Linked DNA regions of Oreochromis niloticus. The protein of the gene in region 1 interacts with the protein of each later gene in a pairwise test. Links are inferred from orthologs where the notes say so. Each region holds a gene or a part of one and is shown on either strand. Other genes may lie near its edges.

Region 1 (7,012 bases):
AATCTCCTCGCTATGAGACAAATTTGAAATAACCACCCTGTTCTGCCAGGATTTCTGGCACATCCCTTTCATTAAACAAGGCCAAAGATATCTGTGTAGGTTCTCGGTCATCTGGGTCATGGTAGAAAACACAGACAAGGTCAAAGATGGTAATAAAGCCAGTAGTTAAAGTCAAGATGCTGAGTTTTAATCATAAGAGTGCTAAAAAAGTTCTGCAGTTACAGATCACTGCTGTTTTTGTTCACATTCACCCTGCAATCCAGAACAAAGTCTACCAACAAAGGTCAACTATCCACATATGTTTCTCTAAATGATTTAATAGATTTGTGTTGGCTACATTGCCAAAGGAGGTGCACTCCTCCAAGGCTTTTTTTGCTGCACACAGGAGGAAGGACACATGCAAACTCACACACGAACAGAAAGTTCAGATCAAAATGATAAAAAGTGTCTATAGCCCACATGGACAGTACTCATAACACAGGCTTCTGTCTTTTTTGTGCAATCACACGATTAAGTAAGCATATGAACCCTACTTACTTTCTTCTCGTATTCCAAAAGTTGCTTTGAGAGCTGCTCTGTGGCCAGTCCCATCTCACTCTGTGGTGGAACGAAAGAAGGAAAATAAATACATGTTAAGAAAAAGGACTGATTACTCCTTCAAGCTCAAACATCATGCATTTTTTCACTTACTGAGAACATTTATAAAAAAATGTTTTTTGGGTGCAATGCGATTCAATATCTGTTGAAAAGCTGGCGAAAACACCAGAGGGCACCTTCAATAATGAGATACCTCAGAGAACCAGGGTTACATTAATAACGCAACATTTTAACCACAAAGTAAATATAGGTCAAAAACAAACTTCTACACCAAATGTTTTCTGCTCCATTTCTACAGGAGACAAATTTTCATTGTGGGGCTGAGAGTATGGTGTTACAGTTTGGTACGTTTCTCATCAAAAACAGTAGCTCAAATGGCATCCTAAATCAAATCAAACCAAACACAACACTCTGCTGCTGTTCAGTGATGCAAAACCCAGAATCAGCAAGTTAAATTAGAACTCATGTTCATCTACAAACGTAAGGGGGGGAAAAAAATCTCCTATTATGTGTTTGAACATGTGGCTCTGTTCCAAACAGCAAATGGAAAGGAGTGCAAGCCTGCGCCTGACAGTAATTTGTTTTAGTACCTGTGCTCCGAACACCCGCTGCATTGATTGTAGCAGCTGGTTGGTGTAGTCTGTAAGCATTCCCACATCTTCCTCAAACACACTGAGCAAAGAGCGAGTCTGTGGGTAAGGGGAAAAAACAAAAACATTACAGACTCTTCTGATGAACACTATAATGGCATGAATAGCTGAGCACAAAGTGAAATAATTAGAAAAACCTTATCCAACAATTTTCCCACTAACTTACAGAACTTAAATATTCTGATAACTGATCTCAGTTACTTCACAAGGTGAAAAATATCACTGTGGCTTTTTGTTGTGGTAGATTTGCATGAAAACCCATATGAAAGTCTGGCATCCTGGAAAGTTGTAATGGGAACTTTTAAAACTGTTTTCTGACCAATGAAAATGAAAAAAAAAAAACCCCCCAGAAGAACAGATATACTGTAAATAAACAAGTACTTCCGATGATAAATACTGGTCTTAACCTTAAGTCAGATGAAAATCTACACAAGTCACTGAGCTCAAGAAATGTGGGTAGCCGGATTATACTCAAGCAAAACTTAAAGTTAAACTAAAGGCATACGTATTTTACTGCAGGGTGGATATGCAAACAGACAAAATCCTGTCTGGTGAAGTGTTTTCCATAAACAGGTGCAGCAAGGTAGGGCAGTTCAAGCAGAATGGAACACACCCAGAGAGTGAAGTCTGTTTACAGTTCACTCAAGCTGACTTATCCAATAAAAGGACCATGAGTCATTTCACACCAACAAGACATCATGACGCTTGGCTGTATGTGTGTGTTACTGTACAAAGATGCCAGGTACATGTCTTGTTTTGAGGAAGGAAACCACTAAGCAGACAGTGACCCTCCAGCGTGGGTTACACTTAAGCAGAACCTCCAAAGAGGTCAGCCCTCTTTAGAGGAAGAGTGATGCAACAGACTACAGAAAACAGGATGCATTAGATGTAGCAAGGACAGAATTCATCACCCACGGTCATGCATGAAAATGAATGCCGAACTCGGTGAATAACTTGTACACAGTGTAAGCGTTTTGTACCCTGTAAAAATTTGGCATGTTATTTTTGCAGTAACACTGCCCTGTTTGCAGACTGTTGACTAATTCCAGGGGAGTCCGATAATGGAAACCCCTCCCACATCCTGGGAATCAGGCCCAGAAGGGCTACAGAACAGAATTTAGATCAAAATAACTTCACGGCATTAGAAAATAAAACGATTGCAGGACACCGAGTCTGGTGGAGCTATATGGTTGTGACTGACACAGGTCTGGATGTACACCAGATAAATCATCTCTGGGAGAGAGATGGAATCCCTGAGAAGGGCGGTAGCTTTGTAAATACAACGGAGACACACAAAAAATCCACATAACCGTGACATGCTGTAGAAATGACTTGAAGGTGCAGCTACTGCTCACAGGGGGATTACAATTCTTGTAACAATGTGTCAATTGAGAACTGTCATCGACCAGTGGAAACAGACTACAACGGGTACTGGATACTGTCTGGGCTAAGCTAACTTCGGCGCTCGTAACGCCTTTAATGAGACAGCTGGGTACACAAACATGAGAAAAGAGACGCAGGCCTACCTGAGGACTGTCCTGTAAAGCGTCCTCCAGGAGCAGTTTGTGATGTACGGCCGGCATCTTGTTAGCTGTGCAGGAGAAGGGAACGAGGGCTTGAATTATTTAGAGTACGGACTCAATTTCCCAGACACTACTGCGCGAAAAAGAGAAGCCCGTATGCAATTGGTAGCAGGCCCAGTCATGATGTCATCTAACAGCTGGTGACCAGTAAGAGTAAACATCCTCAAACTCTGAGGTTGTTTAAAGACATATAGAGATATATACATATAGATATATATATATAGTTCAGTGTTTAAGTTGATTTTATCCTAATTATTTACGGCAAAGCGTCGGCGATAATGGCGACTTACAGTATCCTAGGACATTCTAATGTCAACAGTGACCCCGTGTGGTCACATAAAGAATTGCAGCATTGATTTTTCAAATAGGGTTTTAAAAAAATTTAAAGGAAAAACAACACAAAGTTTCTTCGTGAGGTGATGAAATGCAGTGCTGTGCAGTACTACAATTTTTAGTATCGATGTAATATCAAGTAAATAAAGAGCAACTACTGCCGATACCACGCTTTAAAGCTATAAAGCTTACGTAGGGGAGAGCAGTGTCATGTTGTATGAGATAAAGCCTCCTTAATTGACAAATTCTGAACCCATTTTAATGAGTTTAATAAAACAAACACACCTTTCAGTTTTTCATGTATTTGGAAATTTGGTTTTTCAGAATTCTAAATGTTCCCCTCTCTCTATTTACTGTTGTTTAAATGTGCTATAGGCTATAAAAATAGATTTGACAGTCAACACAAAAGGGTTCAGACATTTTTCATAGCGGATATTTTTTCATTTCCCCCAAAAAAAGAAAAAAGAAAAAAGAAAACAAAACATAAATAATGTATCCCAATTCAGTATGCTCCGTACTGAACTTAGAGGATAGGAACAAAGTATCAATCTGATACCTATCCTAACCTCTAGATGGATCATCATGTGCCAGTAGAAAAACATTAGTGCGCCACTGAACTCTACTGGAGTCCTGTTTAAGTGGTGGGAGAAAGCACTGTCTGATTTATTGGACCAATGTCTTCCATAGATGCTCAGCTGGGTATAGATAACATAACATTTCTATAAAATTTATACTGATCAATCCATTTAGTGGCAATTCATGCCATATGGATGGAGGCACTATTACCCCAGAACAGCTCACTCCACTCATTACAAAATAAAATGTTCCTTTACTTTGAGGAATAAACAAACAAACAAACAAAAAAACCCCACCAACAACAAAAAAGGATTGTTGATTGATATAAGGAAGCAGTTAGTATTTATTGAGAGATAAATGGATGTAAACCAATGGATGGTGATAAGTAGCACAAACCTTTTAAAATTACATTTTAGTCTGGTAAGTAATCAGGACCAGAAGCTCTGTCTTGCTTTGCATCAATCGCAACTGACAAATTGGCTGAGCATGTGATGTGCTGAGTTTCTGGCTCTCTAATTAAATCGCAATTACTGCAAAGGCTATACAAAGTAAAACAAAAACAACAACTAAAACATATTTACTGTTTTGTCCTAACAGGTAGTTTGAGAAATAAACCTTTGCAAAGTTAAACCTTTATATAACTTTGATATAATGAATATAAGAGTACTCACTGTTTTTTTCTCTCTATAAAAATCTGTATTAACATCAGCCCTAAAACCTAAAAACCTAAAACAAATCCTGCTATATTAGGCTGTGGCACAGTAAGAAGACAGCATGTAATATGCACTCGTGTAGTATTTTACATTTTTTCCAATCTGAATAACTGTCTTGTTGACTTGTTAGGATGGCCATGTCATGTTGTGTTGTGCCTTGATAATCTAGGCAAGCTGTGACAAGCAGTGCCTCTTCATCAAGCTTCCAGGCGGCCTGAGTGGGAGATCATTCTTCGCTCCCCAGTGGACTTGCCTTGTTTAATTGGTATAGTTGTGGCTGTAAATCAGACAAAGCTTTTCAGCTCTAACTTTGATAATGAACTATGTTTGAAGTCTGGTAAAACAGCAATGGGTATTGTCTGGATAGCCTCTTTTAAATAAAAGAGTGATTCAGCTAAAGACCACCCTGAAAGGAGCAAGCTGCATTGTATCTGGCGTACAGTTAATAATCTTTGCTTTTCTAGGGCTAAAGTAAAGCCCACCTAGTCAAAACATACCTTAAAAGTTGTATTAGCCATACTAATTTTAGCATGTTAGCCTTCTAACAGTTCCTAAATAGTGCTAAGTACTAAGTGTAAATGCAAAGTAGACTGAGAGTATGTCAGTTTTGTTGATATAAAATAATTACACTCATGTTCATGAGGTAAATGTGATCACTATCCCTCTGTCAAGCTTTCTCACAGATAATGCAGTTATAAACCTTGTTAAGGTGCCAAAGCAAAAGTCAGACGAGCACCAAAACTTTTAGAACTTCTTCTACAAACATAAAGGGGATGACAGACATCTTTTGAAATACTGACGCATTTTTATCCAGAAGATCCTTTGCTTTCAACTCGTACCTCTGCCCGGTAACCATCCCACAGACTAGTCATACAGATCCTTTCACATACATTTAAAACAGCTGTTAAGAAGCAGATTGCTTAGCTTATGCCTGGGTGTTAATATATATCGTGTCACATTTATTGACACATATATTGTGTCTCAGTGCGATTTGGAAATGGCCGTTCATTCTTTTGTTTCTCACACCTCGATTAATGTAATTCATTATTGCTTTGCTGGAGGAAATTATTCCTAAATCGGTTCTCAATGTTACTACGAAACTACTCACCGGGTCTTCTATAAGGTCCATTGTGACGCCGATTTGAGCTTCTTCATGCTGGTAAAATTTAGGGTTCAGTAGTGGTTATCGCCTTTAGAGTGCTTCATAATCAGATGTCCTGGATTTGGACTTACTAGTCTTCTACATCATCCACATGCAATTGCTAGATCTCTGAGATCAGCTTGCTGGCTGCACCTAGATCAAAGTTAAAGACAAGAGGAGATTTGGACCCACCTCCCTACAATCACCTTTTATTAGTTTAATCACTTTATACTGTTTTAATTGTTATGTCTTAATTTGTGACTTTTGATCTTGAACACTGCTATATAACTAGACAATGCTTACTTATTTACATGGCCTAAGGTCAACCATCCATGATGATCTCTTGATCAGATTGTGTTGAGACTTTTTCTGACAGTTCACCCCCAGACGTTTAAAATGTACCTTCTGTCCTGCTCTTGTGTGCCACAAAGACTGGATGTGGTGAATTTCATGCAGATGCTTTACCACTCAAGGTCACCTTTTTATGATTCTCTGTGTGGGTGGCTAACAGTGACAGGTACAGAAATATGTTCTTTTAGGAGAAAAGTTGTTCAGTCTGAGCTGCAACTGATAGTAGCTCACCAAAGCTTGGAAGTACATCCAAGCAGGTGGAAGCTGCTGTGGGGGGGCTCCGTGGCATTCTGCACTCCTTCATTGTGGTAGCAGCAAACCATTCCAAGTGGCCGCTGACTTCCACAGGATCTCTTACGCCCTGCGTCCTCACAGACGCCATCAGCTCTTGCTGTGTAAGGAGGTGAATCAGGTCCAAAGCTGATTTTTGCAGCCCACCTTTGGATAGAGCCCCAGTATAGTTGTTTCCTCCCGTTTTCAGTGACTGTGTTAAGCTAACCAGCTGCCAGTTTTACAATGAACTGACAGATGGCAGTGTCATCAGTCCTCTCACGGCGCACATAAAGAGCAAGCATGAGGCGAGAAAGCATTTTTCCTATAATGTATTTTACTTCAGATTGCAATGGATTGTGCACAACAGTTTAAGACTGACTTTACTGCACACAAGGCCTTCTTTTTCTTCTAGACACTTGTAATTGTGTATGAGAAATTTAAATAAAATTAGTCTCACACATCAGTTCATCTACACATAAGAAGCATCTCAGGCCTGTGGAAATGAGTCCATCTAGCATAAAACAGAAAGAGAATTTATGATGTCTTTTTTTTTTCCTCTGGAAACGTCTCATTTGAATTTTAAAAATCTCGACTCCCATGATAATATAGATAACACCGCTAACAGAAAGTGTGAATTGGTTTGACTGGTGCAGAGTGCTAATGTAATGCTTCTTGCCATCATACTCTACTCATGTGACTGCTCTTGCATTTCAAGCGCATACATCGTGAGTGAAATGAAGAACAGAGATGCTCTGAGAATCACTCGGGGCTATAAAGAGGCCTATGCACGACCCT
Region 2 (7,580 bases), on another chromosome or scaffold:
CGGGACTTTCCTGGAAAAAAAAATTAAAATCACGGAATCCAAGAACGGCTGCAGCGGGAAAATTCTGGGAAACTAAACTCAGATAAAAATAAAACGAGAGGATTCTGAGAGGCTGAAAACCCTCCACTCAGAGGAGGAGGAAGAAGAGGAGGAGGAGGAGGAAGAGCTTGTTTTCCTGCCCAGGGCTCCCTCGTCCACCTCCTCCTTTTATTGCCTCCCTCTTGGTTTCCAGGAACCTGATAGCAGCCTCCCAGCCGGATGTTTGGGATCCCGTTCACATGACGCTGATTCTGCATAATCCTAAACCTCCTCGGAGCAGACCAGTCTGCTCCCATTTTTCTAAGTGGAGAATTTGTTCTGCCGAACACTTCGACTCCTCTGATTTTAATAACTGTTAAATAGTGTATCATATTTGAAACATACATTTTTTTGTGAGTTTTTGAGACTTCTACATCATCAGTGGGATTTTCCCCCTAAAAATAAATGGCACTATCCATTTTTAAGCAATTTTTTTTAAAAAAAGAAAAAGCCAAATGCAACAAATGCAATACAAATTAAAAGTCATGTATAAAAATTAAAATGTAATGGATGGATAGATGGTTCAATAAACTGTCCATTTTCAAAAATTTTAATTTTCTGGGAATTATTTCATGGTTCAGTCCTAAAATCAGACAATATTTCCATGAGGTTTGGTTGAATTAAATGTGACCCAGTCACCCCGGTCAGAGTCTTTGATGTAATCCAGGTTACAGAGGTCCAAGTGAAGTGGTCTTACACTTGGACCTGGTCACACTGAATGTAGTCTCCATCCGGTTGTTCAGTGATGACGTGACGAATCCTACTTCCGGGCCTAAAGTAGTCTGCCTTTAATATGGCTTTTGTGTTGTTAACATGTTTAATGTTTTGTATTTTCTTCCATTTAATCTCAAAAAGCTCATAAAACAGTCAGTGATCACTGTTGACCTCCCTCGGCTTTTATTACCGCTAATCATTTATTTAAGCTCAGTTTTTAAAACCTTACGATGTAACTACAGCACAGCCCATGCAGCAGTATATGAATGACTAACCTCGTATTGTGGATGGATTATCTCAGTTGTTCTCCTGGCTGAAGTTTAGTCCTTTTACAGCATCCTGCCATGCGATTACATTTGTTCCTGACCACCGAGAACACTCACGTTAACTTTTATCGAGTGGAAAAAAAGTTAGTTTGTTTATATTATGCTAACATAGCTGTGTCGCTAGCGGTCACGTAGCACATCATTATATACCAGCTAGCCAAACTTCAGTAACCCTACAAACGTCACTGCTGTTTAGTTTTCTGTCTTCATTTATGTTGGAAGTGATAGCAGAGCTGTACGTTTGAATTTGTTTCCAAAACCCCGCAGCCAGGACATGCTATATTGTATTTAGATAGAAGCTAGCGAGCTAACTTCCTGCTAACTTCTAACGCCGTTAAATGTCATAAATTCCATTTTCATGGATGCCTGGATGTTAAACTCAATTGTTACACCTGGTAGAGCAGAACACTGATCATTTTATTAAAGATGAAAGACTTTAGACAGTTTTTCAACTCTCAGTAATGCCACAGTGATCGTTTGATATATGGACCTGCAGCGGAGTTTAGGCCCAGACACGGCTAGTGACGTCAGACTGAACAACCGGATGGAGAAACATCAGTGACCTCTGACCCTCGTCTGATCCTAAAACAAAGGCCAACACGTAACCTCTGCCACGTGTTTCTGCCAACAAGACTTCTGGGTTTATGCAGTGACGTATGATTCCACCGCACCCTGATTGGTCTTACCTGTGGGTCCGGGTTCAGGTGGGGTCTGGAGCTCCTGCAGCAGTAGGTCCCGGACCCAGCTGAAGTCCTGCAGGGACAGCAGGAAGGACTGGAAGGCCCGGGGCCCGCGGCTTGGCAAGAGGTCCAGGAGCCTGAGGGTCTTCTGTCTCTCCGTGGACCGGGACTCGATGTCCTCCACCTGCGCGTCCGTTAAAATCTCCTCCTGGTACAGAAACGGAACGATGGTGTCGCTGACCAGTAGCTGGCCGGACAGCTCCAGCCGGTGTTTTCGGAGGACGGCTCTGTGCGCCGGGTCCATTTCACCGAAACCCGACTAATTAGCTCACATAAATAAGCAGTTCCACATCATTAAACTAGTCATTTGTGTCAGCTCACCGCCCGTACAACTACCTTTCAACTGCTCTGTGTTTTTGTGCTCGGGTGGAAACAAGCAGGCGGAACGAAAGTCTTTGCTAATCATGTAGCTTTCACATTTTTCATGCCAATACAATCGCATTTGCTTAGATTGGTGGTTAATTATGGGAACTATTTGCGTGGAAGGATTCGTTAATCATCGATCTTAAACTCGGCATGCGTTTCTACCCCAGATAAAATCAACTTTGAGGGAAAACAGATGTTATGCAGATTGCTTCTGATAAGATGATTTCTGGTGACGTAAATGTACGCCGAAGTTCGGTGAGAAGCCTCGCAGAGCGTTCCACTTTACTGATTAATATTCATAATTAATAAATCCACGAAGAAACCTCAAAAATAAAGTATTCAATTAGGTTCAGCGTACCAGAGCGTCGAGCAACGTTAGCTAACACACAGCATGAGCTAAAACCAAGGGTAATTTTATAGATACAAGATAAATAAAGAATAAATAAAGTTTATAAAATATCTGCCGAATTCATTAAAAAGCCACAATCTGACCAAAGAAGTTAATATATTTATTCTATCAGATACTTACATTTAGGAATTCAACATAAAATTCCCAAACTGAAAGATTTTCCATGGAGTTTACAAAACCTCGTGTCACACTGTCCTTTATTACGAGCTTTTATTTTCAGAAGATCAATTTACAGTTAACTGAATCTGTTTTTGACATTGTTACTGATAATATGTGATTCATATGTTTATTTGTGCTTTCATTTCTGTTTTTCTGACTGAAGGATAAACTTCGTACAGCCAGCCAACATGAAAAAACATGTTGTGTTTTTTAAAATATATTTGGCAGTGATGGGGATTTAAACTGAAATTAAAAACCTTTTTCACACTTCAGAGTTTTGTGTCTATTTTTCTATTTTTCACGTTTAATGACATCACTGAGATTTTTTTTTTTTTTACTGATTTAATTTCCAGTCAGACATGAGGTTCTATTGATAAATCTGCAAATATGTATGTAATATGTTTTTAAATTAATCCTGTTTCTGGATTTAATGTCCTTCCAAAAATGAACCCTCTATGATCTGTTGAAATAAATTTTGCAAAACACAGCGTGGTGTGTTTAAAGACTTCTAAAAAGAAATATCAATAAGAAAAATCAAAAAGGAAAAACATCAATAATTTATACATAGCCACAAAATAAAACACGGTACACTGAGACAAATTCATAAAGCTGACTACTGTACAATGTCTCATTTGCACATTTAAAAATGTGGGGGAAAAAGAATCTCAATTTTTACATCTTTAATTTAAAGGACCAGGAAGTTTCATCTGTTTTAATCATGAACTTTTGTAATTTCTACAAATCTAGAAAATGGATGGAATAACTTGCAGCAGTTCTTGCTAAATGAACTTCAACAACAATTATGACTGTTCTGGCTTCCATAAAGAATAGGCCTTCATAAACTAACCCAGAGAAACAAAATTTAACAGAGCTTTTATTAGCATCATTTGTTTCTTTGTATTATACTTTTTTAAAAGTCTCATTGTTAATGAAGATATTCAGCTTTTTCCTCTCAATAAATGATAAAAAAAAACATTTATTACACACACACCTGTCCTGTTTCGTCCTGTGGATGTGAATCAATAACAGCATGAAATATAAGCAGCAGTGAGACGTTATTGATGAGGCACCATATAAAATTTATTGATCTCCTGGTGGGAGCTGATCAGTTCATCTTTTACATGCTTCAGAAACACAGACATGATCAATAAATACTTTATCAAATCACAGGGGCTGCGATATGTACAGGAACGCGCACACGCTTCGCCTGCTTGGCACATCCATGTTTAATTCAGCTGCTCTTTGTCATCTTCATCATGGAACTGGTCAGATATCAAGGCTGAAGCACAATCAAACACCCTGATTGGCCCTCCTTATACACACACACACACACACACACACGACACACCCTGTTTACCTGATCAGCTACATAACCACACAGCTCTGCCCCTTCTCCTGTAGAACAGGAAGAACAACCCCAACATGGCCGATGCTGAGCTGTGATTGGATGTTTGAAGATGATTTTAAAGAAAGGTGACAGAACGTGAGCATGCAGCGTCGACGCCCCGTCCTCGATCAGGGACAACTGGGTAAAAACGTAACCCTTTAAAACTGTAAATTTCTGACAGTCACTTGTGTAACCCCCATTTCTATGGTAACAAACAGGTTGGATTCATGACTAAATTATTTTTTTTATTAAATTGCATGCTTGCTTGCATGCCTGTTGGATTAATGAGACAACCACAAGATTCCGCAGGCCCCCCCAAAAACATGCAATTTTTGAATGAAGTTTGGTTAAAGCATTAACCATCAACACTGGTGGGTGTATATGAATCCTAAACGCAAAAGCTTTTTAATAGGGCTTGATCAGGGTTGTTAAACATTGTCCAGTCAGTCATAAAGATGTAAAATGAATTTGAATTTCTGAGGTTTGGTCAAGGTCGGTGTGACTGAACATGTTTGTGAAGCGTGGTGGTTCAGCGGGTTTGTTTTCCACGAGGCGACAGCGCATGGAAGCATGATGGCTGGAGACATAATTGAGACTAAGACTGTTTAATCCAAATCACACCCGCTTGCACCACATTCCTGGGGATTTTTCTTTTACACTGGGGCTAAAACAAGAACTTTTTGTAAGCAGGAAAAACCCCGATGAATATGACGACAACAACAACAAAGATGGTGCTGAAATTACCGGACTATCACAACATTTCTAAGAGGCATAAAGCTAACTACTAACACCAGCAGGATGTATTTTGATTTTTGAATTGAGTTTGGCTGAATTGTAGTTAAAGGTTCCTTCCTGAGTAAGGGCTGGAAATTAGAGATTTGGTGTCAGTGAGACTTCCTGGTAAAATAAAATAAAGATATAAACATTTTTTTAACCAGGTCTTTGTGTCTGTGCTGAATTTAGGAGACCGTGATACTGGTCCTAAAAATGTGGGACTTTTAAATCGAGTTGGGTTGGAAGGTCTTCACACAGCCTGAAGCTGGTTCATTGCTGCAGACTGAGGTTATTTGATGAACTGAGCTTTGAAAGTGTGACTTTCCGTCTCCTTACTACGGCATTAACAGGTCCTGCACCTTTGCAGCTCTGAGCCAATCACAGAGTAAGAAAACTGAGTATTTACTACATGCAGGTACAAAGTCTGAGGGGGACATCAGCTTGTTTTCATTCAGAACGTCAACGAGGACACCTCGACTCTCCACCTCACCAGCGTTCACTGTCACAGGCTGTCCATCGGCCAATCACAGGGCTCTGTTTACTTGTGTTTACAGGTGGGACTGACAGGCTTTGACTGGTGGAGAACAATGGAAAATTATTCTGTTTCCTGGCTTTTGTTTTCCTTCTGTTAATTATTTCCATAGAAATCCTCACAGAAACTTAAATCATGAAGAGGCCAAATAATCAAACAAAAGATCAATTAGAAAATCACTGGAACTGCTGACTGGTTTTAGAATATTTTCAGGTTCAGGCTTCTTCAAACTGTTGAATTGTTCTTGTATATATTTTTTTACTGATCAAACAATAACTTAATGGGAACAATTACTAACTTGATCAATAATAAATATTTAAAAATGTGAAAAAAAGGTTAATCAATAATGGATTAATATTCATGTTTCAACACTTAAATTTCTGTGACCAAGTTGAAAGAGGTCACATATGGAGGTACAACATCGCCAAAACTGTGCACAAAACCATTTAAAAAAAAAAAAAAAAAAAAAAAACCCCACACAAAATAATGAAGTTATGAGATGGGACATTTTGTCTCATTTTATATTAATACCTCCATTTATTTAATTTACGTTTTCTTCAATTTTTGAATTTATTTAAAAATATTTTAAATAAAAATAATCATTTATATTTTAGTTTTGTTTCTGTTCTTTTTTGCCTTTGTATTTCCCTCCATATTTTCAAAGCTTATTTACTTTACCTTTTATTTTAAAATCTTACAAATAAAAAAACAAAAACACATTATATAATAACTATAAAGTTAATATTTGTTTTTACTTATTTTGTTAAGTCATTTCAGTCCTCGTCTTTTAAAAGCATACTGTCTTCTGATTGGCCAGCTTCTCGACACCCACTGTTTACTTTAAATTTGAAATAAAGTGAAAAGCTAGTAACCCATGAAGCCAAGCCCCCACAATTTGCTGTGTTTACTTTCTTCTCACACCAGACTCCATTTAAAAAAAAAAAAAAAAAAAAAAAAAAGCCATTTTAAGTAGGCCTGCTACAATTGAAGTTGACTGTGACGCATCATATAGTAAAACCACATGAATGTGTTTTTATAACGACAATACACTACAGGAAGCTACGGGGGCAGTAATGTTGCTATCATCTGGCAAGACTGGACTCACTACTAATGAAGAAGCACATCGTGTAAACAGCAAAAGTGGATGACAGAAGTAAATTGAAAGGGAGATTTAAAAAAAAAAAAAAAAAAAAAAAAAGAGTGCAAGTATTTTACAGAAATTAAACAGTTAAACCAGACTGTGCAAAACGGAGCTTTCCTTCCACGACAGCAGTGCACAAGCATTTAAAACGCTGCCACCCTGGAGCTGTTACATCAGCTCTGATGAGTCCATTATTGAGAGTTAAGTCAGTGCGTCACATTGATACCTTGTTCATGTTTGTACAGTAATGTTTATGTTTACCGGTCAGAAACTTCTCAGGATGATGAAGCATTTAAGTTTCGCTAGCCAATGAGTGAAAACCGATAGCAAACCAGTAAAACCTCTGAAAAGAGGCTGGTGCACCTCTCAAATCGCTGAAGTCATGACAGAAAGCATCTTCAGCATGTTTATCAGCAATTGTGAACATCATCTTAAAGACAAGAGCGAGCCTTACTCCATGAATAATCTTCAAACTGGTTATTTTGAACCTGAAAAAAAAAAAAATTTTAAATTTAATTTAAAGCTTTGAGCTTATGGAAAAAATTTGTTATATTTTTTCCCACTCTTGTTTAAAGTAGCACTTTAATTTATATTACTTAATATTTTATTCACTTCACTTTTATTCCGACTGTCCTAATAGTAATGTTAAAGATACATTTGATTATTTTCAAATTCACGTGCTTCCTGGGTAATTATTTAAATTTGCTGTTGAATGAGACAACAGGATGACATTCACAGGTGGGCAGACCTGAGAAGGTGAGGTCCTGGAGCCTAGAACAGGTTTGCCCACAGAGACAAGAGTTACTGAACTAATCGTTGACCAATTTAAGAAAAATTGGCAGATTAGTCAACTACCAATCTTTAATTGCAGCCCTAATTTTAAGGGAATATTTTCCAAACCTGTTTTTTTTAATCTACAGGGTCATCTGTGATTCATCTGCAGACACACCTGAG
Region 3 (7,277 bases), on another chromosome or scaffold:
TCGCACATCTTAAGCAGCATCTGACGGATGCTGTGATGGCATCCCTAATGGGTACTGCAAACCTCCACAGGGAAGTGGGTCAGGGAACGAGAGACAGTGGGACATAGGTCAGAGGGGGAGGAGAAAAGGCAGGAAAAAGCAACAGACGAGAGGGAGAGGCTGTGAAATATTTATTGTGGCCCCCTTGTATGTTCTGCTGCTGGCATAATATCCAAGAACTTAGTGATTGCGGTTTATTGCAATCTAAATTGGAGAATGCATGCACAAATGAAATACGTTTAAACAGTCAAAGAAGTAATGAAAACATTTTTTTAATTGCTTTTGCTCCGTGAACAAACTCTAGGTATCGTTAAACATTAGTTATACTGAAAAATTAAGCAGAAAGATCAGGTTACCAGCTGCTATGACCAGTTTACAAGTGTTTTTGTGACTGCTAGATTTGAAGATTTTGTATTGTTGTACTAGTGCATCATCGAGGCTCTTCTTATGCAGAAAACAAGGTGTCACCTAACACCCTAACACCATTTCTCAGAAGACCATATTTGCAGAAGGAAAATAACAGGATTAATCCTCCATTCCTGGTCACACAATTAAAAATGACATTTTGTAATTAATAAATTTTGGTTTGCTTGGACAGTATGATCTTCAGACTAGATTTTAATAAAAGAAAATCACTTTCACATTCAATTTATAAACTAGATTAACAACCTGCCACCAAAACACTGTAATTAAGAAGGCAAGCAGAGACATGTGCAGTTCACTTTATTTGAAGGGTGGGGTCGTGCAAAAATGGTATCTGATGAGGGGCTGCATGACCATACTTTTGTCTTTTGATTATAATCTCATCTGCTTGTACAGATGGCTGTGTCCAAATTTGCATGGACACATGAGCATATATTAAAGGCCTATCTATTGCCGCCAAAGGTAATAGTTTGTCCTAGGTTGTAAACAAAGATTGAAAAGCAGCGCCATACTTGGGAACTCGAAAGAAACAGGAAATGCTCTGAATCCAAGATAGGTTCTTTTACAGTTTGGGGGGGTTAAAAACAAAGAATAGCTTTGGCATTGTGATTTTAGATGGGAATGTGTGGACACAATACAGGAAAAGCAAACACCACACTCATCACGAGCATCACTGGCACTTTCCCCCCCTATTGTGATGAATGAGTGAAAACCTTAGTCACTAAGCCTAAAATCAGCATTAGCCAGAGGTCAGATCTTTACCTACCAAAATTATAGCAATAAGAAAAAAGAAAGCTCTCTTAAAATCTAACTGAAATGAAAAATACAATCATATCTGTATGGATGGTCAGATGGATCCCAAACTGAGACCTTTTATCTCATCAAATTGTTTAAAACAGACTTTGTCCCCTTTATGACTTCAAATGATTTTAAGTGAATTGTTAAATAATGGGATTTGATATTTGATCCTTTACACAGATTTACTCAAAAATGGAGTCTAGTTGATTGAGTGACACTTAGTAGATCCAGCTGTCCGTTTAACTACAACAACTTACAACTTTAAAGGCAATGCCAAAACATAGCACCCAAATGTTATCCATACTAGTGTTCAACTAATTTGCAGTCCTCCTTTATTTTAGGGCTGGGTTGTCAAAAAGAGTGGCTGTTTAAGAAGGACAAGGTCCACATGCCATAAACATGAGAGCTCAGGCAAGCAACTGTAAATCACATCTTTGTCTCAAAGGCCAAGCTCCGTTCCCCTTATTAAGCCATAAACATACACTGTGAAGATACACAGCATACAAAAAAAGTATTTGCTGTTAAATGCAAGAAGACACACGTGCAGGCACATAACAACCCCAACGATGCAATATGCGGATGTTACACCACAAAGTCAGCAGTAATGACATTTTAATGATGAGAAGGCACTGCCATAAATACAACTTCAGAGGTAAGCAAGAGACTATGTACGCACATTTACTCTGTCACACTATGTGATGCACAAATGCAACTGATAATAAAAAGCACAAGATTGTGAAAAGAGATTACAGCTGCCTTGATAGTACATCTAATTTAGAGAACATAAGACGACTGTGATGTGCCTCGACTGAGCCTAGACCTCGCACATAAAACCAGTTATTAAACACTTAACCGGTGGCAGGAACGTAACATATTAAGTTAGTTAATCTACAACTAATATTTCAAAGTAAGTGAGAAGTTTTGCTCGGTCGACGCCGGGTTAAGCACAATGATAAGGCAACTTAAACTGTAAAGGTAAGGCTTGCTTCAAAACAATCGATAAAATAACTATCAAACAACAATGCACCTGTCTTGGCTAAAACGGTACGTTACATTTAGGTGCGATAAGGAACCGCTATCATTAACGTAGACGACACAACTGTAACTTGTGAGTTCCACTAAGCACTTGGCTAACAAAATTAACGCTGACTACACAACGTGAAAGAATCAACCTTGTTGCTTACTTGGCAATAGCACCCATTTGCTAGCCTAAACTGACAAAGAAAACAAAGGCTATGTTCTTGGCAAGGAAACTTGACTTCTGATAGCATTAGCTGTGTTAGCAGCTATGGCCAAAAGTCGAAAGCGTCATTAGACAACTTTCCTTTTCTCGGCCCTGTGTCGTCAGCCGTCTGACGTTTGAGAAACTCCGGGACTTCTTATTGCGTCCACTTGCTGGCATGAAACGATGTCATATTTTTCTAAGCAACCTCAGGGCTCTGCCGTGGCATTAATATTTTTTTCAATATTTAGAATGTTTGTCCCACAGGGCAGCTCGTAGCTCCCCTCGATCCACTCTGATAAGGCATTTCGGTTGAGCCCGGACTTGGCTGATATGCTAAGCAGAAAAAAATAATAATAACAAAATAGATCAAACTATAGTAAACAGTTTGTCGACAAAATAATCCAACACACGTTCAGTATTGCTCTTCACCAACATGACTCTTAATTTCAAGTTGTTTTACTTACATTACTTTTTCTTCCTTCGCTGGTCTCATCGGCAGCAGCTGTCTTCTTCTTCTTCTTCTTGGGCTCCGGCCTTCCCTTCCGGTTAGCAATTTTTCCGGGAACCTCCCACTTTTTGTCAGTGGCTTTCTGACCAATGAGGACAGCGGGTTACGCTAGACCCTCCAGTCCGCAGCACGGCATTTTTATCAAGGTTTTATAATATCTAGTCATAAATAACATCTTAAATGATGTTAATTTGAATATAATTATAATATAATGATATGGTGTTTATGAAAATTATGTACACTGACAATAAAACTTGTGCTTTTCAAATGGCGTGAAAATTTGTAACAAATTTTGTTTAGCGTAATATTTTTAATAAGCTTGGGATAAGCTTGGAAGCTGCTTTCATAAAGAAGGATCCTTTTTAAATTTTTACTAATATTTTTAATGATCCTTGTGATGTCTCCAATGTCGAACTGTATGTATGATTTTCATCTTCCTTTGGCTTCTTCATTTAGGGGTCGCCACATCATCTGCCGCCACATCACCCTATCCCTAGCATCCTCCTCTGTCACACTAATCCTCTGCATATCTTTCTTCACTACATGAATCTTCTCCTGTGGGCTTCATTTTCTCCTCCTGCCTGGCAGCTCAGTGTTTGCCCAGTATATCCACTATCCTCTTCTATATATGTCCAAAACATCCTTGCCTCTTTAACTTTGTATCCAAGCCACTTAATCTAAGCTGTCCTTCTGATATACTCATTTCTAATTTTGTCCATCCTGGTTACAACCCAATGAATATCTTTGCATCTTCAGTTCTGCCACCCCCAGCTCAACCTCATGCCTTTTTGTAAGTGCCACCATCTCCAAACACTAACATCTTGTAAATGTTTCCTTTCACTTTTGTTGCTATCCTTCTGTCACAAATCACCTGTCACTCATTTCCACCCACTCTAACCTGCCTACTCATTTTTCTTCACCACTAATGGGCACTGTTCATTGTTAAACTCACCAACTTTCACTATCTCTTCTTGCATCTTTACATGTTCAAAACAAAAGATTAATTAATAGTGAAAGAATGGCCTTCTTTGCTTGGACTAATGACACAAAATCTTACATGATGCCCCTCAGTATATTATTAATTTCAGAATTGTTGTTAAATGCTAAAGAGTCACATGGACATAAATATATCTGCCATGATACTACCAATGAATAACAATATCAAGGTTTTTCAGCAGTCTGTAGAAAATGTCATTGCTATATGCCAGGTTGGTTGGACCAAGATTGGTCAAATATGATTAACATGTTTCAGGAATATTTTACATCATTCTACAGGTCAAAAGCTTGGTTGTGGCTCCAAAAGGCCATATCTGACTCAGATCAGTTATTTTGAGCTCAGTGTGACGAAATGTCAGTCTTGTGTTTGTTGTAGTAACGACATATCACCACTCAGGGGTGCTGCCCATCCACTTGTGGCTTCTAAGTCAACCCTGGAAACATTTTGTGGATGAATACAGCAGTGACAATTCACTTGATAGAAAAAAATAAATAAACAAATAAAATGAATAACTAGTCAAACAATTTTGCATTGAATGCTTGAGTGAGAGTGTATGGCTTGAAAATAAGATTGCTTCAGCTATGATATATGCAGACCATGCCTTAATCTCAACCAGAATTCACAAACATTATTAATGCCAGATAAAAACACAAGAACCATCAGTGGAAAAAAAGGTTTATTCTGTAGTGGCAGTTGGATTCCAATAGTTGATTGAGAATTTGGCTAAATAACAATTTATTAATTTCAAACTTCACACCAGATTTCTTGGTAAGGTACTCTAAACATTACATCAGCTTTGTTATTTACTCACTGATAGCATAACCAGATAGGGATGTCATCAGTGTGGCCTTTCTTTCATATCAAGAATGCTGTCCCCTGTGGAATGAGACTCCATGGTCTCTGTCCTCTCTTTATACAGTGAAGCTTTGCAGTCCATGTTTGGTACTTGCTCCATCAGAGAACTTGCCAGGTCCTGTGTTTGGTGGACAGGACTGGATCCTACTGGATCATTCTGTCTGGAGCCTTCGACAGTACCTCGCTGGTCCTCGTATCCTGTGTATATCAAAGTGTGGGCTCTTGATGGCGTCAAAGAGCTGAAGGCAGTGTGATACTGTGGTTGGGCTGAAGGAGTGGTGGATAAATGGATAGGTGTCTGGGATTTGGTCTGATTATGTAAAGAATCCGAGTTGGTTTGAACACTTAGGGGTGGCTGGGAGTAGCCACAGTTTACCGTAGAACATAAGGAGTGGGTGCTGCTTATTGTGTGGATTTGTGCACTACTAACCATGTGTGAGGCCTGACAACTTAATGGGTAGCCACTGAAGGCAGAACTGATGCCCAGGAGGGATGGACCTCCATGGGCATGAGAGAAGGTCATGTAGGGAGAGCCTGGAGATGTTCTGGGTGTTTGGAAAGGGCTAGAGAAGCACTGAAGCCTTTGAGTTGTGTCTCTGTCAGAGCAGCCCAGGTGTGAACAGGATGGCATTGTGCTTGACGAGTACAGCAAGGCGGAACTTGTGCACTGGGAGGGTATTCCACTGGAGTGCCATGTATTTCTAGCAGGATGGCTAATCATTTCATGAACAGTTGGTAACCCAGTGGAGATATTTAAAGGGACATCCGGTTGCCAGTGGCTACACGTTGTCACACTTGGGTTGGGGAGCACCTGAGTGCCACATGAACATGTGGAAGCTGGAGAGTTATTGTGGAGCATTGTCATATGAGAATGCAGAAAATGCATTATGTCATGGAGTTCCTTGGCAAGGTTGGAAACATCTTGGTTTAAGTTAATTACCTGAAAGAGTGAGAAAAATTGACTTTTTATTCAAAACTGTTAACTGTTTATTAGTAACTGTTATCATGTTAAGTTGATATGAATTCAAGCTGTAACTGATTAGATTTTCTTGTTCAAAGGTAAAGGTTACTGTGTCCTCACAAAACACATTTGGGCATATTTCAAGGAGCAGCGCTTTTGCCTAATAAGGGAACATACCTCTTTGCTCAGTTTGCTGACGCTCTGTCTCATTTCTTCTGTCTCAAGAAGCAGGTTACAGACGTGTAACCGATCTGAAAGAGGATTATTTTTTAAAAAGTGAGAAACTCATCTAATCTGTCCCGACTTTGGGTTATATTTAATGTCTAGTCCTTAATAGAAAGGCTTATATTTACAATTTCTCATTAATCATGCAGTTTTCAGACACTTTACCTGCAACATTAGTCTTTGCCTCGCTCTGTTCCATATTAAACTGAAATGTGTGATCATTATCCTCAATTCCATCCACGACCCTGACAGTAAGACAAATGGGTGTTATATTCATTTAAATATATGCAAACAGATTATTGATATTTGACCAAAGGAGAATGAATAGGTCACCTGGGACTGAGGTTCAGAGGACTAATACAAGAACCAGATGGCATGAGTTTGGCAGGCCGATGGTTCAAGTCTAGGTCACTGGTAAGACTGGGTAAAGGAGATGGAGAGAGCTCCTCACTGAAAAAAGGTTGTGGGGAAGGACTACAACCCCTGCTTCCCTGAGCAGGCAATCGGCAGAGCTGCAGTGCGCTGATGTGCCGGAGCTCCTCGCCTAGCAACGTGCTGAGGCAGGGTTGATGGACAGGGCTGCCCATACTCTGTAGTAAAGGCAGTCTCCGGTGCTGAGAGTAATTTACGTTGTCTGTGTGTTTTGCATCAGCTCCCTGAATGATATAGGGTAGTTTATGATCCATAAACTGAGGAGAAAACAGATGGAAAACTCAATGAAGCTGATTGCAAAGATTTGTGCATGCTTTTTGGTTGGGTAATAGATTTGTTTGCTACAAAAATTCTTAGTCTAGTGATCTTGATAGTGTCAGAAATACTTCTCTTGTAGGATAGTTTTAATTAAGCTTAGTGTTTTTTCTTGATGACTAGAGTGTAGAAACCATATATAGTGTATGCTGTTTGCTTCATTTCTCTCTGTTACCTAGCAGCAACTGGAGCATTGTTATCTCAGCTATAAAAAAAGGCATTTTAAGTGTTTTCATATCTACATGACATTTATCAAGAGTTCTAAGTTTTCAAATGCAATGCAAGGCTGACTAATCCTTTAAGCTAAGACAGATTTAGCTGACGCCTGTATCAAGCATGTCAAGGCTAAATTAATCATCCTAATGAGGCAGACATACCTGAGACTGCCTGGGTGTCAGCTGAAACCGTGTTACTCCCTAAAGGTATGGAGGTGAAAATGAACAAAGCATTACACTCACATTGTAAACTGAACATGTAAAGTGTCGCGTATAGCATAGGT

The links.
Region 2: the proteins of appl2 (region 1) and cradd interact in binary tests that used the Homo sapiens proteins (3 or more experiments, as listed by UniProt). The two-hybrid records come from large-scale screens. The link is inferred for Oreochromis niloticus from reciprocal best matches to the Homo sapiens genes APPL2 and CRADD.
Region 3: the proteins of appl2 (region 1) and rab5c interact in binary tests that used the Homo sapiens proteins (3 or more experiments, as listed by UniProt). The two-hybrid records come from large-scale screens. The link is inferred for Oreochromis niloticus from reciprocal best matches to the Homo sapiens genes APPL2 and RAB5C.

The regions. Positions count from the first base shown.
Region 1 is NC_031972.2:47,236,096-47,243,107, forward strand, and holds the start of appl2 (DCC-interacting protein 13-beta), read right to left. Parts: upstream 3,091-7,012; 5' UTR 2,831-3,090; coding exon 2,774-2,830; intron 1,287-2,773; coding exon 1,188-1,286; intron 598-1,187; coding exon 538-597; intron 1-537. UniProt on the Homo sapiens protein: Multifunctional adapter protein that binds to various membrane receptors, nuclear factors and signaling proteins to regulate many processes, such as cell proliferation, immune response, endosomal trafficking and cell metabolism.
Region 2 is NC_031981.2:22,776,359-22,783,938, reverse strand, and holds the start of cradd (death domain-containing protein CRADD), read right to left. Parts: upstream 3,005-7,580; 5' UTR 2,103-3,004; coding exon 1,805-2,102; intron 909-1,804; exon of another isoform or gene 1-908. UniProt on the Homo sapiens protein: Adapter protein that associates with PIDD1 and the caspase CASP2 to form the PIDDosome, a complex that activates CASP2 and triggers apoptosis.
Region 3 is NC_031969.2:26,577,465-26,584,741, reverse strand, and holds the start of rab5c (ras-related protein Rab-5C), read right to left. Parts: upstream 3,090-7,277; 5' UTR 2,950-3,089; intron 1-2,949. Other genes in the region: kcnh4a (potassium voltage-gated channel subfamily H member 4a), read right to left, coding at 4,829-5,785, 5,984-6,057, 6,197-6,276, 6,365-6,720, 7,156-7,194. UniProt on the Homo sapiens protein: The small GTPases Rab are key regulators of intracellular membrane trafficking, from the formation of transport vesicles to their fusion with membranes.